Linked DNA regions of Mytilus edulis. The protein of the gene in region 1 purifies or fractionates together with the protein of each later gene. This does not show direct contact. Links are inferred from orthologs where the notes say so. Each region holds a gene or a part of one and is shown on either strand. Other genes may lie near its edges.

Region 1 (8,175 bases):
TTAACAGCACTAATAGCTCCGCATTTAGGCTATTTCGTGGCGGCCAGTTTTTATTGGTGGAGGAAGCCAGAGTGACCAGAGAAAACCACTGACCTTTGATAGGAAAACTGACAATCCTAGTCAAATAAGATTGGGAGTCAAGTGCACCAGCACATTCGGGGTTCGAATTCACAACCACAGTGTTCACTGGCTAATGATTACAGTAGTAACTACTTAGACCACTCAGCCACGGAAGCCCCTTTGTTTTTAAGAACATATGTGTTAAGAAACAAATGGTAAAATACCTTTATATCATACATTTATTTTTACTTGGAATTTTTTTTTATATAGATCAGTTGATGACTGTTAAGAAAATATTGAAATTGATAAAAAAAAAAGTAAGTTATACCAAAAACATTAATCATGTTAATTATGATAGTTTATAAGAAATATTTTAAAGTGAAGAAGATTGTTGCTTTGACCAGCCTAATATTTAAATAAATGAATAACATGAATAATGTGTCCATGGGTCACATATAATTTTAAATAGGGATATAACACAATAACTGCTAAAGTGACCATAATTGGGACTTGATCAGGGTTTTGTGGTAATAAACATTGTATGTACCTTTCATACCATTTAGTTGAGGAAAACTTAAGTTAGAGAATGTTTATGAAAAATTTGGCAATATTTCCATTACTAAAGGGGCATAACTCTAGAATACTCAAAGTGATGCTACCAAACTTCAAATTTGATCTGTGTTTTGCAGTAATAAGCATTGTGTATAACATGTATAAGTTTCATAACATTTGGTTGAGGTACATTAAAGAAAGAGAACGGAAACAAAAAAATCAGCAATTTTTCTATTTGTAAAGGGGCATAACTCTAGAATGGTAAAAGTGACACCACTAAAATTCAAACTCGATCTGTATTTTGTGGTATCATGCATTGCATTGTGTAAGTGTCAAAACATTTGGTTGAGATAAACCAACTTTGGGACGTACCGTAAGTGTGGACGTACATCATGTACAAGGGTATAACTCAATGCCTCTCTGCTACGACAGGGCCATAAAACATGTTTCTATTCTAGTCATATCGTCGTGTAATGTGTTTTCGTACTAATAACAATTTTTACTGCTTACGGTTTTCACTGTGAGTTTTTATTCAGGTGTTTACTTAAATTTAAAAAGCATGTCCTGTAGATTGATTTTAGGTACTTAGTTTTTTTGTCAAGGCTTACTACGATTTTTTTAATGTTTCCAATAACTTTGAAATTTTTGTATGTCAAAAAAACGGCGTCATATGTTTTCGTATGAAATAAAAATTGGATAAGTACACGGACAGGAAATGACTATAAAATCCGAAAATTAATATTTTCTAAAGTCGTGGTTCTGGTGATCGCTTGAATCATAAAAAAAGTTATTTAATACTTTTCAGTACTAAAAATTACTAGTAAATAGTTTTAGGTTGGTGTTTCATGTGCTGAAATTATTAGATTTTTATTAATTTCAGATTGGCACATAGTTTGTACAAAATACATTATTTTTTCTAAAATAAAATGCAGTTTTCAAAATCTAGGATTAAATATAAACTGATAAAAAGTTAAGACTGTATTCATTTTCATGTATCAAGGATGTATAAAAAGAATCGTCAATAAAATATTGAATAATTAGGTTTTGAACAACCATTTTATCTAAGAACCCTGTTAATTTTAACTCGCTGATTTGTAATTAAAACGACAAAAAAAAAAAACACATGACCAGTCAGGGGACTTACTGAAATAGGTGATTTTTAAATCACTTATTTGAGTAGCAAAATCGTGGTTTTGTCACAAATTGGAATTTTGTATTTTTTTCCAAATTTTAAACTCATAGGTTTAAATAATATCTTTTAATTAGTAAAATTAAAAAAAAAAAAAACTTTTTGCTTCTTTTAAGTAGAAAGGTTTCTGCCTTTGATGCTATCATTTAGCTGAAAATTCTATTTTAGTTGAAAAAATGCTATAATAATGGCTTTACATAATGAACTGATACTTTCTTAAAAGATTTTTCCCAGCAGTGAGAGTATTTTTCCTGTGAAGTTCAAGGTTTCATCTTTCAGATTATGTAATAAAATTCTACTGTTCGCGATAAAAATCTCACTGTTCGGGGGTGTTGAAATTAGTAGGGATTATTAAAAGAATGATACTTAAAGAAGTGATTTTTGGGAAGGAAATTGAGGTCTGATACTTAAACAAGTGATTTTTATGTCATTATCCTAGATTCAGTACAAGGTCATCACCTGAAATGACCTGGTCATCCTAGACAACACAGATGTTGGTTCTGATAAGTTTAGAAACATAATTAGTCCCTGGATCATTAGTATTCTATATTTAAAGCTACAGTAAAATTAAATCACTTCTTCTAGTTATTAATTTGTACTACTTAATTAGGTGATTATTAAAGAAAGACAACTCTAACTTCCAACCTTTATGGAAATAATGTTACTTAAATCAGTGATTTAGAAAATCACTTATTTAAGTAAGTCCCCTGACTGATGACAGTCACATGTCTTGAAGATCAGATGTCTGAAAGGCAAAAAACCTATCTGGCCTTTATTCTAATCTTTCAGATATTTTTTCCACAACTATTCTAGTGATGCATATTTTTGACATTAAATAAAAATGGCTAAATAGGTCAGTTTTATTAAATTTGTTCTAACGTCTTTAAAAAGCGACGTTGAATGTTTTAAAATTGTCAAGTTGTAGTGGTGTTAGTGTTCTAAATAAAGAAACAGAAAAACACGCCACAATGTACGTGTATGCAGTCGAAACCAACGAAATGTGGTTGATACGAAAACATATGACACGACGATAATCATGATCCCCTGATCATTTGTTAATTGTTAATCATCATTTCTATGATATATAAAGAATTAATTATGCTTTTGTCATGTAATTGTTTAGAAAATACAAAAAAAAAATGAGTTGGAAATGTTTGAGAAAAAGTGGGGCGATTTTGTGAGGGCGGTTTTCAACGGGGCGAGTTGGTCCGCTTCCGATAGTTAGTAACAGACAAGAATTTCCAACTATCTGAATAAAACCTTTCAAAACATTCGGATTCGCTGTCGTTGTCATCGTCTTCCTCGACTGCTCTAGAAACTACTGGGAGCACTTCTCCAAAAAATGTTGCCATGCTTTGTAATGTTTTTATATGGTGATTTGTTTTCTTGTCAATATACACAGAAACTTGCTTCTGAAAAACAAATGAATGATTCAGACTTGTTATTTTCATTGAAGTGTCAAGGTCGTTGAAAGCTAAGTTAAATACTTTGATCTGACCTTCTTGCTACTATCTCCATAACTTTTATGTTGAAGTCAAAACTTTACTTCGGTCAATATATTAAGTTGTTATAACAAACACATTTATCATTATCACATCTTCATCTAGATCACGAAATTTAGGAGAGAAATGCGTTGTAAATGACATCGATTTGGACTCGAAAATTAACAGTACTTATTTTTTTGTATACGGATGACATCATTTCCGCCTTGTTGTAAACATTGAAAATCGATAATTCCGTCAGCTGTGAATGAAATAACAAAAACAAAAATGTTTAGTTCTATGACAAATTGGTTGGGAATGAGCCAAGAGAGGGAAGCTGAATCTGACGAAGAAAACAAAGAAAACAAAGGCAAAAATGAAAACAATGAAAAGAACCCTGATTCTGAGAGTGAGAAAGAAAAGTTGACATCAGACCCAGATAAAAAAGAACCAGAAAACAAAGAAGAAGGAGATGGCGATATCGACATTTCTTTGGATGCAGCTAAACATAAACTAGAGGATGTATCTTCTAAAGCATTGAATGCTGCTAAAGAATGGGGAAGTATGACAATTTATTATACTTGTTTTATTATGATTTGAAACCTTAGGACTTACTTGCCTTAGCCTAGGGAAAATTATATAACAAGAATACAAAAATAATCTCTACATAAACACCAATTTTAAGCTTTTTTAGTATGAGGCAGGCATTCTCTGTGAAAGGGGACGAAGTCTATATATTTTTTTTATTTTTATTCAAACATACATGTATTTTTACTTAAACAAAGAATCTGAAATACCTTAACGATTCCGATTTAGGTTCTTTTGTTAGGGATTTTAGTTGTGAGTCTTGTGACATTATTTGGTATCCGGTCGTTCCGGCCCCAAACCGATCCGGCCCCAAGTCAATCCGGCCCAAAGTCGATCCGGCCCAAGTCGATCCGGCCCACGTCGATCCGGCCCCAAGTCGATCCGGCCCCATAATAAAATAAGAAATAACTATATATATATATTCTTGGAGGAATTTGTGACACAGTATAAATGGAATTTGCAAAAAGTGTCCGATAATGGATGACAACAGGCAAGTGAAGTATTGGAGTACCAGTTAAAGAACTATTTTAAATCGATACGAAAATGATTGTTATTGTGTCGTTGGTTGTATAGCAGCTTCAACATATTTTAAAATATGAAGTTATTTTCCATGATAACTTTAACTTTTAACTCATGGCGATTTCATTTTCTTTTTGTTCATACACAGAATATCTAAATAAATATTTACAGTCCACTGGAACCTATTAAATTTAACTCATCATAATGACTTGATTAATCAAATCATTAGTCTATAATTGGTTTGTTTATTCAACAATTGTCTGATGATTGTGAACTAAGGTAATGCCACTTGTAATCACTTAATTAAATCAAATCCTGATTAATTGATCTTCTGGTTTAGGTTGGTGTATATAATAATTATAAATTGTATTTTTTTCAGGTAGCATCACAGGATTCTATAAACTGTTATTTGGATGGAGAGTTTTCTCATTGGCAATCACACCACATCTTCCTATATCGATCTATTTTTCATAAATTTATGTCTTCTCTTTTATAGATAGGATTCGGCAAATCAAACAACATTTCTCAATTTAAGAAATTTTAAGAACTTAAAAGAAAAACAAAGTTTGTATGTATCAGCTTGGGGATCGGCTTGTACCGTTGTGTATGTAACTATTTGTTATTACACAAGATGAAAGACTTGTTAGGATCACAGTCAATTGAAAGAAAACGCTAATTACTGCTGATTAATGTTGATGTCTGAATTGTTGTAATATAATTATACCCAATAATCTTGAAAACTTGTAATAAAAACATAATCAACCTAGTTGTTTTATACTCATCTGAAGAAAATATTTTTTAATTTTTTTTTACCGTACACCTTTAACATTATAATAAAAATCATAAACATTTATGAATTACTTTAATATATATCTTTATTTTTATTCCTTATAAATATATTTTTTTATTGGGGCCGGATCGACTTTACATTTGGGCCGGATCGACGTGGGGCCGGATCGACGTGGGACGGATCGACTTGGGCCGGATCGACGTGGGGCCGGATCGACGCGAAAGCCATTATTTAAGTAATGACGTCATATTCAATGTAAACAAAGAAACGCTGACATCAGGTTACTTTTTTTTCATATCAACATCATGAACATGATCAAAGAATAATTAAAAATGAAATTGTTATTGTGTTCCTTCCTATATTTTACTGGACTGACTCTAAATATATACAATTTATTTCACTCCAAGTCTCGTGACAAACAAGACCGGAAGAAGGAAGTAGATTTCTGCGCAAATGCAGGAATTAAAAAAAAGTTAACGATTTGGAGTTCATTAATACAATGAAAAATTTCAAGTAATTTTCCAATTTAAAAAAAAAAAAAAAAATTTTCTACTGTTATAGGGGACTTCGTCCCCTTATGAATAGTATTATCACTATTTTGGACACTTGACCTGATAATGAGCGACATTTAAACTATTGACTCCTGCAATAATCACTTTTTCTTTGTGGCCATCCACATTTTCTACTCACATTGTTGCTATTTATTCCAAAACAGATATGTTCTGAAATTTCACAACTTTTTAAGACATTGAACCTTTGGTAAAACTTTTCAAAGTGGCATTTTTAACCATTGTCATGATTGTAACCATGTAACAATAATACTTCAAGTCTTCAAATACATGTATATCATATGATTTCAATTTGTGTTTAAAAAAAGTTTATCATAAAATTAAAATATAAAAAATTAGTATGATTCCATGACAAATCGCCCCACAGGCACACAAGTGAAGCGATTTGCCTGTGGGGCAATTTGTCCTACTTCCAGGAGTGTGTCAAAGATACAACAACCTGACCAAAGAGCAGAAAACAATCTATCTGCCAGATATTTTTATTGTCTGTTACTTTTACACTGTACTTACATTTGTATTTATAATAGATGTGTATACATTTTAACTGTGCATGTCTCCTTTATATCCATGACTACACCACATTACACTACATTGCAATTGGTAATTCTTCAAAATTTTAGTGACACATGCACAATGTACATGTATCCAAATTTTTATCTTGATGTTTTGTTGTAGGTTACCTGTACAGTTTCAGTAAAGAAGCAGGCAAAACTGTGGCAGATAAAGCCAAACTTATTGGCAAGTCAGTGGAAGATAAGGTATATATCATACAAAATTGTGACAGATAAAGCCAAGCTTATTAGCAAGTCAGTGGAAGATAAGGTTTGTATCATACAAAACTGTGGCAGATAAGGCCAAACTTATTGGCAAGTCAGTGAAAGATAAGGTTTGTATCATACAAAACTGTGGCAGATAAAGCCAAACTTATTGGCAAGTCAGTGGAAGATAAGGTTTGTATCATACACAACTGTGGCAGATAAAGCCAAACTTATTGGCAAGTCAGTGGAAGATAAGGTTTGTATCATACAAAACTGTGGCAGATAAAGCCAAACTTATTGGCAAGTCAGTGGAAGATAAGGTTTGTATCATACACAACTGTGGCAGATAAAGCACAAACTTATTGGCAAAGTCAGTGGAAGATAAGGTTTGTATCATACAAAACTGTGGCAGATAAAGCCAAACTTATTGGCAAGTCAGTGGAAGATAAGGTTTGTATCATACAAAACTGTGGCAGATAAAGCCAAACTTACTGGCAAGTCAGTGGAAGATAACCCTTTCCTAGATCTTCCATCAATTTCTTCATTTTCCATCAACAATTGATGGAAATTGGATGGTACTTGATGGAATTCCATCCCAAACCAAAAAAATCCATCAAAGGATGATGGAAATTAGGAATATTTTTTCCATCAGCATTCTTTACCCTCTGATGGAAAATATGATGGCACTTATTCCATCTGATGGTAAATAGGATGGAAATGAAAGAATTTTGATGGAAATTGGACTTAAACATTTTTTTGATGGAAATAGGGATGGAATTTAGACTGTCATTTTTCTTGATGGAAAAAAACTTAGAAAATTTTTCCATCACAGGTGTCAGGTGCCAATCTGTTTTCCTTTAACCTTTGTGTACAGGATGTGACATCATAAGGCAGCAACCATTTGATTTTCTGGGGGGGGGCTATGGTTTTTTTTGGAAAAAAAAGTTTGTTTCCAGTTTTTGGAGAAAAAAATAATTTGCTTTTGATTCATAGAAAAAAAAATGTTTGTTTCACCCTCAGCTGCCACTATATGTAATGCTAAAATTGAAAGAAAAAAATTGTTTTCGACTTGTCGCGAAAAAAATAGATTGTTTTTCGCCACAGGCGAAAAAAAAAGTTTGCACAGAAAAAAAAAACCATAGCCCCCCCCCAGAAAATCAAATGGTTGCTGCCTAAATGAACACAGAGTTTGAGGCCCAATGAGGAGAGCACATGTTTTTATGTATTCTTCTGCAATATCTCTAACTTATGACATAAAAATAAACTACAAACAAACAATAAATATTTTTTATATAATTTATAGCAATTATTCAAGATTTAGATAATTAAAAGTATTTATTAGGGGCACATTTCAAAGGAATCAAATTGTCACAAGACCCTACACAACCTCAACAAATCAACAAATTCAAATTTGAACTTTCATGAACATGCAGACAAGAAGCAAAGATGTCTTCTGACATTAACAAATTATGAATTTTACAATGGATTTAGATCAAAAAGTTCTTATTAATTCTATTGACTTGGATTGAACAGTGCAGATGTATTCTTCTGATGACATAATTGAAGATAAGGTTTGTATCATACAAAACTGGCAGATAAAGCCAAACTTATTGGCAAGTCAGTGGAAGATAAGGTTTGTATCATACAATTCAGGAGCCTGTAAATCAGT
Region 2 (8,589 bases), on another chromosome or scaffold:
CTCCTAAAGAGGTCAATTGACAATTTTGGTCAAATTGACTTATTTGTAGATCTTACTTTGCTGATCATAGTTGCTGTTTACAGTTTATCTTTATCTATAATAATATTCAAGATAATGACCAAAAACTGCAAAATTTCCTTAAAATTACCAATTAAGTGGCAGCAACCCAACAATTGGATGTTTGATTCATCTGAAAATTTCAGGGCTGATAGATATTGACCTAATGAACATTTTTACTCCATGTCAGATTTGCTCTTAATGCTTTCGTTTTTGAGATATAAGCCAAAAACTGCATTTGACCCCTATGTTCTATTTTAAGTAACGGCGGCCATGTTTTTGACAGATCAAAAATCAAAACACACACTTTGTGCGGGATAATCTAAGGAACAACCATGCTAAGTTTTAACCAAATCCATTCAGTAGTTTCAGAGGAGAAGATTTTTTAAAGTAAGCAAATATGATGAACAAATTGTGAAAAATTGTCATTAAAGGACAATAACCCCTTAAGGGGTCAATTGACAATTTTGGTCAAATTAACTTATTTGTAGATCTTACTTTGCTGATCTTTTTTGCTGTTTACAGTTTATCTTTATCTATAATAATATTCAAGAAAATGACCAAAAACTGCAAAATTTCCTTAAAATTACCAATTAAGTGGCAGCAACCCAACAATGGTTTGTTTGATTCATCTGAAAATTTCAGGGCTGATAGATCTTGACCTAATGAACATTTTTACCCCTTGTCAGATTTGCTCTAAATGCTTTCGTTTTTGAGATATAAGCCAAAAACTGCATTTGACTCCTGTTCTATTTTAAGTAACGGCGGCCATGTTTTTTGACGGATCAAAAATCAAAGCACACACTTTGTGCAGGATAATCTAAGGAACAATCATGCTAAGTTTTAACCAAATCCATTCAGTAGTTTCAGAGGAGAAGATTTTTTAAAGTTAGCAAATATGATGAACAAATTGTGAAAAATTGTCATTAAAGGACAATAACCCCTTAAGGGGTCAATTGACAATTTTGGTCAAATTAACTTATTTGTAGATCTTACTTTGCTGATCTTTTTTGCTGTTTACAGTTTATCTTTATCTATAATAATATTCAAGATAATGACCAAAAACTGCAAAATTTCCTTAAAATTACCAATTAAGTGGCAGCAACCCAACAATGGTTTGTTTGATTCATCTGAAAATTTCAGGGCTGATAGATCTTGACCTAATGAACATTTTTACCCCTTGTCAGATTTGCTCTAAATGCTTTCGTTTTTGAGATATAAGCCAAAAACTGCATTTGACCCCTATGTTCTATTTTAAGTAACGGCGGCCATGTTTTTTGACGGATCAAAAATCGAAGCGCACATTTTGTGCAGGATATACTAAGGAACAATCATCTTAAGTTTCATTCAAATCCATTCAGTAGTTTCAGAGGAGAAGATGTTTGAAAAATTGTTAACGACGACGACGACGACGACGACGACGACGGACGCCAAGTGATGAGAAAAGCTCACATGGCCTTTTAGGCCAGGTGAGCTAAAAATGCTAAAATGTATTTAGGCCCCTAATTCATCAACTGTTAATCCATCCCAACCTTCCTTTTGTGGTTATAAACCTTGTGTTTAAATTTCATGGATTTCTATTTACTTATACTCAAGTTATTGTCCTGAAACCAAATGTCTTCAGACAAAGACAACGCTGACGACAACGACGTGATACCAATATATGATTGCATATTTTTTTGGCAGTGGTATAACAATATTGTATGTTAAATGTGAGTACAAATATTTACTTATATCAAGGATTTCTATAATTTTAATTTAAGCAAAAACAAAGTCTAGGTTCCAAACTTGTTTGTTTTAGTGAACTGGCACCCGAGTTGAATGTTGTTTGAAAATATCAGTATCTACGCCTGCAGATTCTTGTATACGTTTTAACCAATAGGCAATTGAATTGTGCATGATATGACAGGTTTGTGAGGTTTAATAAAACTAATGGGCAGTTGATAACAATCATTAGAAGGAAGGCTCACTGTTTTATCAATGTACAAATGTAGTCTTAAGATACATTGAACAACTTTAAGATTCTCAGGGAATGAACTAAATGTTATAGTTGTGAACCAGTCTTCCTAGTCTTGGTAAGTTTTGACATTGAAAAATAAATTTCATTTGTATGAACATTCAAATAACTCATGTCCAGTTTCTGCATGTCTGACAATGGAAGCTGGCCAAATCAATATGTAACGATCCCGTGTTAAAGTATATCTCATGTATGAGTTTCTGTCTAGTCTCTGAATAATTAATGGAAGACACACTATTGTGAAGTTCCAATTAAAAGATATATAATGTGCTATACTTGTAGTCAGGTAACACGAATCACCGAATAGCACTGTTATTATCCGAATAACACTTGTAATGACCGAATAACACTTGAAATTTTAATATTAGTTCATATTGGTGACTTTTAAACATTGATTATTAAATAATAGTATATTATCGATGTATCTTATAACACAAAAATGTTTTTCAGAAAGCAGATAAGTTCATAAAGATCATTTTAAATTTAATGTGTACAGAGAACATGGTGTCCATTGTGATGTCCGTGGTCGTCATAATTTTAAAAGTTTTTAATGAACTTATCTGCTTTCAGCTGTAAATCATTTATAAGTCATAAAATACATCGATAATATACTTTTATTTAATAATCAATATTTAAAAGTCACCAATATGTGCTAATATTAAAAAGTGTTATTCTGTCATTACAAGTATTTTGAAATTAACAGTGTTTTTCGGTCATTCGAGGTACCACGTGTAGTCTGCAGACTGAAACAAATAAATTATATGCAATAAAGTTTGCTTTAGCCTTTAGTTTCATCTTCTTAACTTTAATATACATCATGTACATAGGATAACAATCCACTGAGTGTGGAAATATGAAGATACATGTAGATAGATAAATAGATCAAATGTTGGCACACCGACTTTTGCCTTTACAACTGTGGTCGAACTAGTCCTGTGAAAGAAACTACATGTGGTCGAACTGGTTGTGTGGCCGAAACGTCTCAAAAGACTTGAAGCTTCAAAAGAAAGGGTCATCAAAATAATTTTATTCGCATTTAACACGGGAAACAACTACTTGGGTGCAAGTGAAAATAATTTGTGTTGTTTTCAGAGTCAGGAAACAATAAAATTGACTATACTCATTAATTAAAACAGCATTTATAAGCGCAAGCCGCTTTGAAATCATTTCAATCAAAATTGCAAGTCAGGTTTCTTACCAAGTTCGCCATGTTGGTAAATTAAACTTCCTATCTTGCGCATTAAGTGGGCTTTCCCCAGTTACGAGATTTATCGTACTCAAACATGAAAAAGTCCGAAGACTCCGGGAACGGGGAACCCCTTTACTCAGAGGCTGATACTTTTACCTCCTGCGAGCTTTTAAATTTGTATTTTTCTTCAAACATTGTTAATACTACCCTTAAACTACATACCCTTAAACTACACATCAAAGCGGTTTTGGTAGATTCAGTTGAATATTTTTACGCTTTCTGTAATAGTTTGTGGGAATAATTATCAACTGAGTTTTTTTCTGATTTTGGGGAGATAATTGGATTAGCCAAAAGGAACTCCTTTGATATGCTTGATGAGAAAAACGTTGATAAATAGAAAGTGAAAATGACACATAAATCACACTAAGTCTGATTTTTACGTTTTTAGATATGGAATAAGTGTGTATTTAAATATAAATTGTACATTATCTTTTGATTATATGTTCATGGATATGGAAATTAGCTCTTAACTGCTTCAGAAAAAGTTTAAAGCACCTGAACATTTTTTTTACCTGAAAATGGATTATACACATTCAAAACATGTATGCTGTTTCGTGATTTTTTGGATAATATCAGTAGATACCTTTCAGAATCGTAAGTTTAACAATAAGTTATTTCACCAAGTGCATGTGCAATGTATGTCTTTTTATGTTGTGATGTTACAATATTGTTTCAGGTAAGGGTGAAGGTTGGTACAAATGTACATGTACCTATTAAAACGTTTAAACATACTGCATGTGTTTGCAACTGTCCCTAAGTCAGAAAACTGATGTTCAGTGGTTGTCTTTTGTTGTTGTGGTTCATATATATTGTGCAACTTGACATTAAATTGTTTCTTGTTTTTTTTTATAGATTAGACTGGCAGTTATCCTGTTTGAATGGTTAATTTATACTGGTCATTTTTGGGGCCCTTTATACATTTTTTTTTGTAGCTTGCTGTATGGTGTGAGCCAAGGCTCCATGTTGAAGACTGAACTTTGACCTTCAATGGTTTACAGTACTTTAAATATAAATTGTGACTTAAATGGACAATGATCATGATGATGCAGAGTTGTATAATTGGCACTCATACCACATCTTCTTATACATGTATCTACATTTTACATGCATACATTTTATATATCTAAAGACAAAGCTAAATGGAAACACTTAGCCTTTAATATAAATGTAAGTCACTATTTAAAGTGCATGCTTTTCATTGAATGCCAGCATCCTTTTTCAAAATTTCTTTCTGAAGTCATGTTTAGAATAAAATAAATGTACACAAACAAAAAAAATGTAGCAGACATACATGTATAAATGTGTTTTTATTTTACAAGTCATGAAATAAAATGTGTTCCCTCTGGCTGCAGGCTAACAAGAGGATAGTTTTCCTATGCAAGGCTGGTTTATAGAGATTACTATTATTAGAATAAGACACATACATTGTACATACCCCAATGTATCCAAGTGACTTTTGCCCATAGAAACTGTTATATTGATTGTAGGTCTTAAGTCTTTAATTTCGTAATTTCATTCACAATTTGTCTAGACATACATGTACATGTACACTCATTGTAAGAGCTTGACATACACTTTTGTACATACATGTACAGTATTAGCACGTGTCTGCTATATAGTTGGGGAGACATTGTATTATATGTCTCTGATAGTTAGTTGAATCCTAGTCTAGTTAATTTTGTCAAAGTTGTAACTTTAATCAATTCCATAAACACTGATAAATACCCCATATCTCTCTTATTTTTGTATCTGTAATATACATGATATATATATACAAGTTTACACTACATTGTGTGCCTTTAGCCACAGTAGGTCTAACCAAAATCATCGTAAACCTGAGAAATATACATACATTTGTGTACATGTACATGTATTTCACAAAGAGTATCTTTTTAAATGTCCAGTTTAAAAGTGAAATTTAACCATGTAAAACAATTATAGTTTACATATTTTATTGTTCAATATATACATGTATAAGGACAAACCAATTAGACACAATTTTTTCAAGTAAGAAATGTCTTCTCCAAGTGTATATTTACCTATACATGAACAATGTATATATCACATGATTTATTTTTTTTACATACATGTATATATACATGTATATAGATACATGTACATACACATCTTTTGCCTAATACTGATCATGAGACCACGTAGAACCACAGAGAATTATAAAACCTATTGAACTTTACATTACAACCACATACAAAGTACATGATAATAATAATAATAATCTTTATTTCAAGAGGGTATGCTCAATTAGTACAAACACTATTCTCCCTTGAGGCCCTCACACTCCACTCACAATGCAATTCACACAATTTCTTCATAACAAAGATAAACATAAGAAAACATAAATCAAAATTGATACATAGTCATTTAAATAATTCCTGGATTTTCAAGTAAAAACTTAAACCAGTTTGTTTTAAAAGTATTTATGTTTGACATATGTCTTAGTGCTTCTGGTAGTTTATTCCATAAAGTTGGGCCAGAATATGAAAAAGATCTTCTATATATGTGTTTGTTCTTGCCTTTGGTATATTAAGTAATTGGGTAGTATTTGATCTAAGTTGCATTCCATTTTTATTTGTAACATAGGAGATTTTGTTAGACAAATATTCTGGGACAGATCCATATAAACATCTATGAACATATAAGGCCTTGTGGTAAATTACACGATCAGTAAATCGAAGCCATGATAACTTTTTAAACATTGTATTTGATGGGGTATCATAAGGAAGTTCAAGAATAATTCTAGCTGCTCATTTTTGAAGTTTATCTAATCTATTTGTATTTTGGTCACTGGTGTTTCCTCAAATTGTACAACAGTAATCCAAAATAGGGAGAATATAACCATTAAAGTATAACTTTCGTGTTTCTAGGGGGAGGGATTTCTTTATCCTAGACAAAAGATTTAGTCTGGTACTGATTTTTGTGCACAAAGTGTCAATTTGGGCTGTCCACTCAAGATTTTCATCAATAAAAACCCCAAGGAGCTTTTCGCAATTAACATCTCTAATGTGTGAGTTACCAACAGTCAAATTAAGAACATGGTCTGTTTTTGCTAGTTTCTGTACATGTACATGACTTTTCTGACAGACATGCTTAACACCAATCTATTCTGTATGATTGTACAAGGGTATCTGACAATTGGCTGATTGTACAACATTGTACAGGTATCTGACAATTGGCTGATTGTACAACATTGGACAAGGGTATCTGACAATTGGCTGATTGTACAACATTGGACAAGGGTATCTGACAATTGGCTGATTGTACAACATTGGACAAGGGTATCTGACAATTGGCTGATGTACTATGTAACTTCTGCTCGACATATTGGTATTCAACTAGATACATCTTTAAAAACAATGGACAGAACTCTTAAAGCTTGTCGCACCTTGCGCTTGACAACGACATCAGTTATACGCCTTGGAATACACCCAGCCATTGTAAATCCAATTAATGTGCAAAGATTATACGTCAGCTCTGCTATCCGAAAGCACTATACGGTTGTGAACTCAGGGGAAAACTTACCTGCACTGAAATACTGATGCTTGAAAGAACTCACCACTATATTTGTAAATTTATACAAGGTTTACCAAGAAGAACAAGAAGCGACATGTGTGTGTCATTATTAGGATGGCTTTCAATTGAAAGTTTTATATGTGAACGAAAACTGTTGTTTTTTGGAAGAACATGTCGCCTTCCATACTCAGCTGTCTCATTCCGTATTCTTCTCCGTAGACTCATTGATGCTAGATATAATCAATATGACACAAGATCAGGTTTCGCTTGTGACATTATTAAAATACTCACAAAATATGGTTTATCGAAATATCTAGATCAGTTTCTCAATGATGGACAATTCCCAAGTTCGGCAATTTGGAAATCGGTAGTCAAGACGTCAATTTACCAGGTTGAGGTAGTAAAGTGGCATCATCGTATGGCAGTGGATCCTGATTTTGTTGTTTTCAAAGACATTCACTCGTTTTGTGTACCGCATGCGGCGTGGAGAGTAGCACTGCGTCACCCACTGATGCGCAGACAGGCCCATTTTGTAACATCAACGTGCTGTCTTATACGCGAGAACTTACAAAACAACAGAATACTGTGCGATAAATGTGGTAAACTTTTTGATGATCCTTGTACTCATGCGATACTATCATGTGACTATACAGTTGATGCTCGAGATCAATTTTGGAGGAGTGTTATAGACATAAACCCGATTTCATTTAGTGTTCACTTAGGAAATATGACTGACAATAAATTGCTTAATTGTATTCTTGCCTGTGACACCGATTTTGATCTACAGAATAAAGAACGTGAACAGTTTAACTTCACGTGTATGAACTTTATCTACAATTCTTGTAAATTGTTACAGAACCGCAACTGCTGCTAGAAGTACATAAACTATCTTCAAACTGTAATGAACATATAACAGGCTATTATTTAAACTTGGAATTATTATTAATTATGGAAATTTTATAATTTCTTGTGCTTGAAATTTCTAGTAAATTCCTTGCTTATTCTGTACTTCAATGGTCTGTGCTGCGCACAACACTTTCATTTACAAAGAAGATAGTACATTTTCAATAGAATGTACTGTGCCGCGCACAACACTATCTATACAAAATACATTATATGGAAAGTGTTATGAACTGCTCAAAACAAAATTATACCAAATAAACATGGAATTTATTAAAAATTTCCAGCACAGAAAATTTAACAAATTCCATAATTAAAAATAATTCCAAGTTTAAATAATAGCCTGTTCTATGTAAATAATTGAACTTTTCGTTGTGATCTCGTCTTTATTGACTGTCTCTGTGTAAATCATAACTCGTGTTGTTTGTATATGATTAATTGTAATTGTCTTTGCTTTGTTTCATACTCTCCAATAGGAGGCAAATAAAATTATATATATCTGACAATTGGCTGATTGTACAACATTGTACAAGGGTATCTGACAATTGGCTGATTGTACAACATTGAACAAGGGTATCTGACAATTGGCTGATTGTACAACATTGAACAAGGGTATCTGACAGTACAACATTGAACAAGGGTATCTGACAATTGGCTGATTGTACAACATTGGACAAGGGTATCTGACAATTGGCTGATTGTACAACATTGGACAAGGGTATCTGACAATTGGCTGATTGTACAACATTGGACAAGGGTATCTGACAATTAGCTGATTGTACAACATTGGACAAGGGTATCTGACAATTGGCTGATTGTACAACATTGTACAAGG

Evidence for each region.
Region 2: the proteins of proteasome assembly chaperone 1-like (region 1) and proteasome maturation protein-like purify together in Homo sapiens (affinity purification with mass spectrometry; 4 studies listed by BioGRID and IntAct, with this or other methods). This does not show direct contact. The link is inferred for Mytilus edulis from reciprocal best matches to the Homo sapiens genes PSMG1 and POMP.

The regions. Positions count from the first base shown.
Region 1 is NC_092353.1:70,413,461-70,421,635, reverse strand, and holds the start of proteasome assembly chaperone 1-like, read right to left. Parts: upstream 3,253-8,175; coding exon 3,062-3,252; intron 1-3,061. Other genes in the region: synapse-associated protein 1-like, read left to right, coding at 3,571-3,844, 6,424-6,506. UniProt on the Homo sapiens protein: Chaperone protein which promotes assembly of the 20S proteasome as part of a heterodimer with PSMG2.
Region 2 is NC_092351.1:6,550,515-6,559,103, reverse strand, and holds the start of proteasome maturation protein-like, read right to left. Parts: upstream 3,516-8,589; 5' UTR 3,501-3,515; coding exon 3,486-3,500; exon of another isoform or gene 3,285-3,485; coding exon of another isoform or gene 3,273-3,284; intron 1-3,272. Other genes in the region: vascular endothelial growth factor receptor 1-like, read left to right, coding at 3,842-3,917. UniProt on the Homo sapiens protein: Molecular chaperone essential for the assembly of standard proteasomes and immunoproteasomes. Degraded after completion of proteasome maturation. Mediates the association of 20S preproteasome with the endoplasmic reticulum.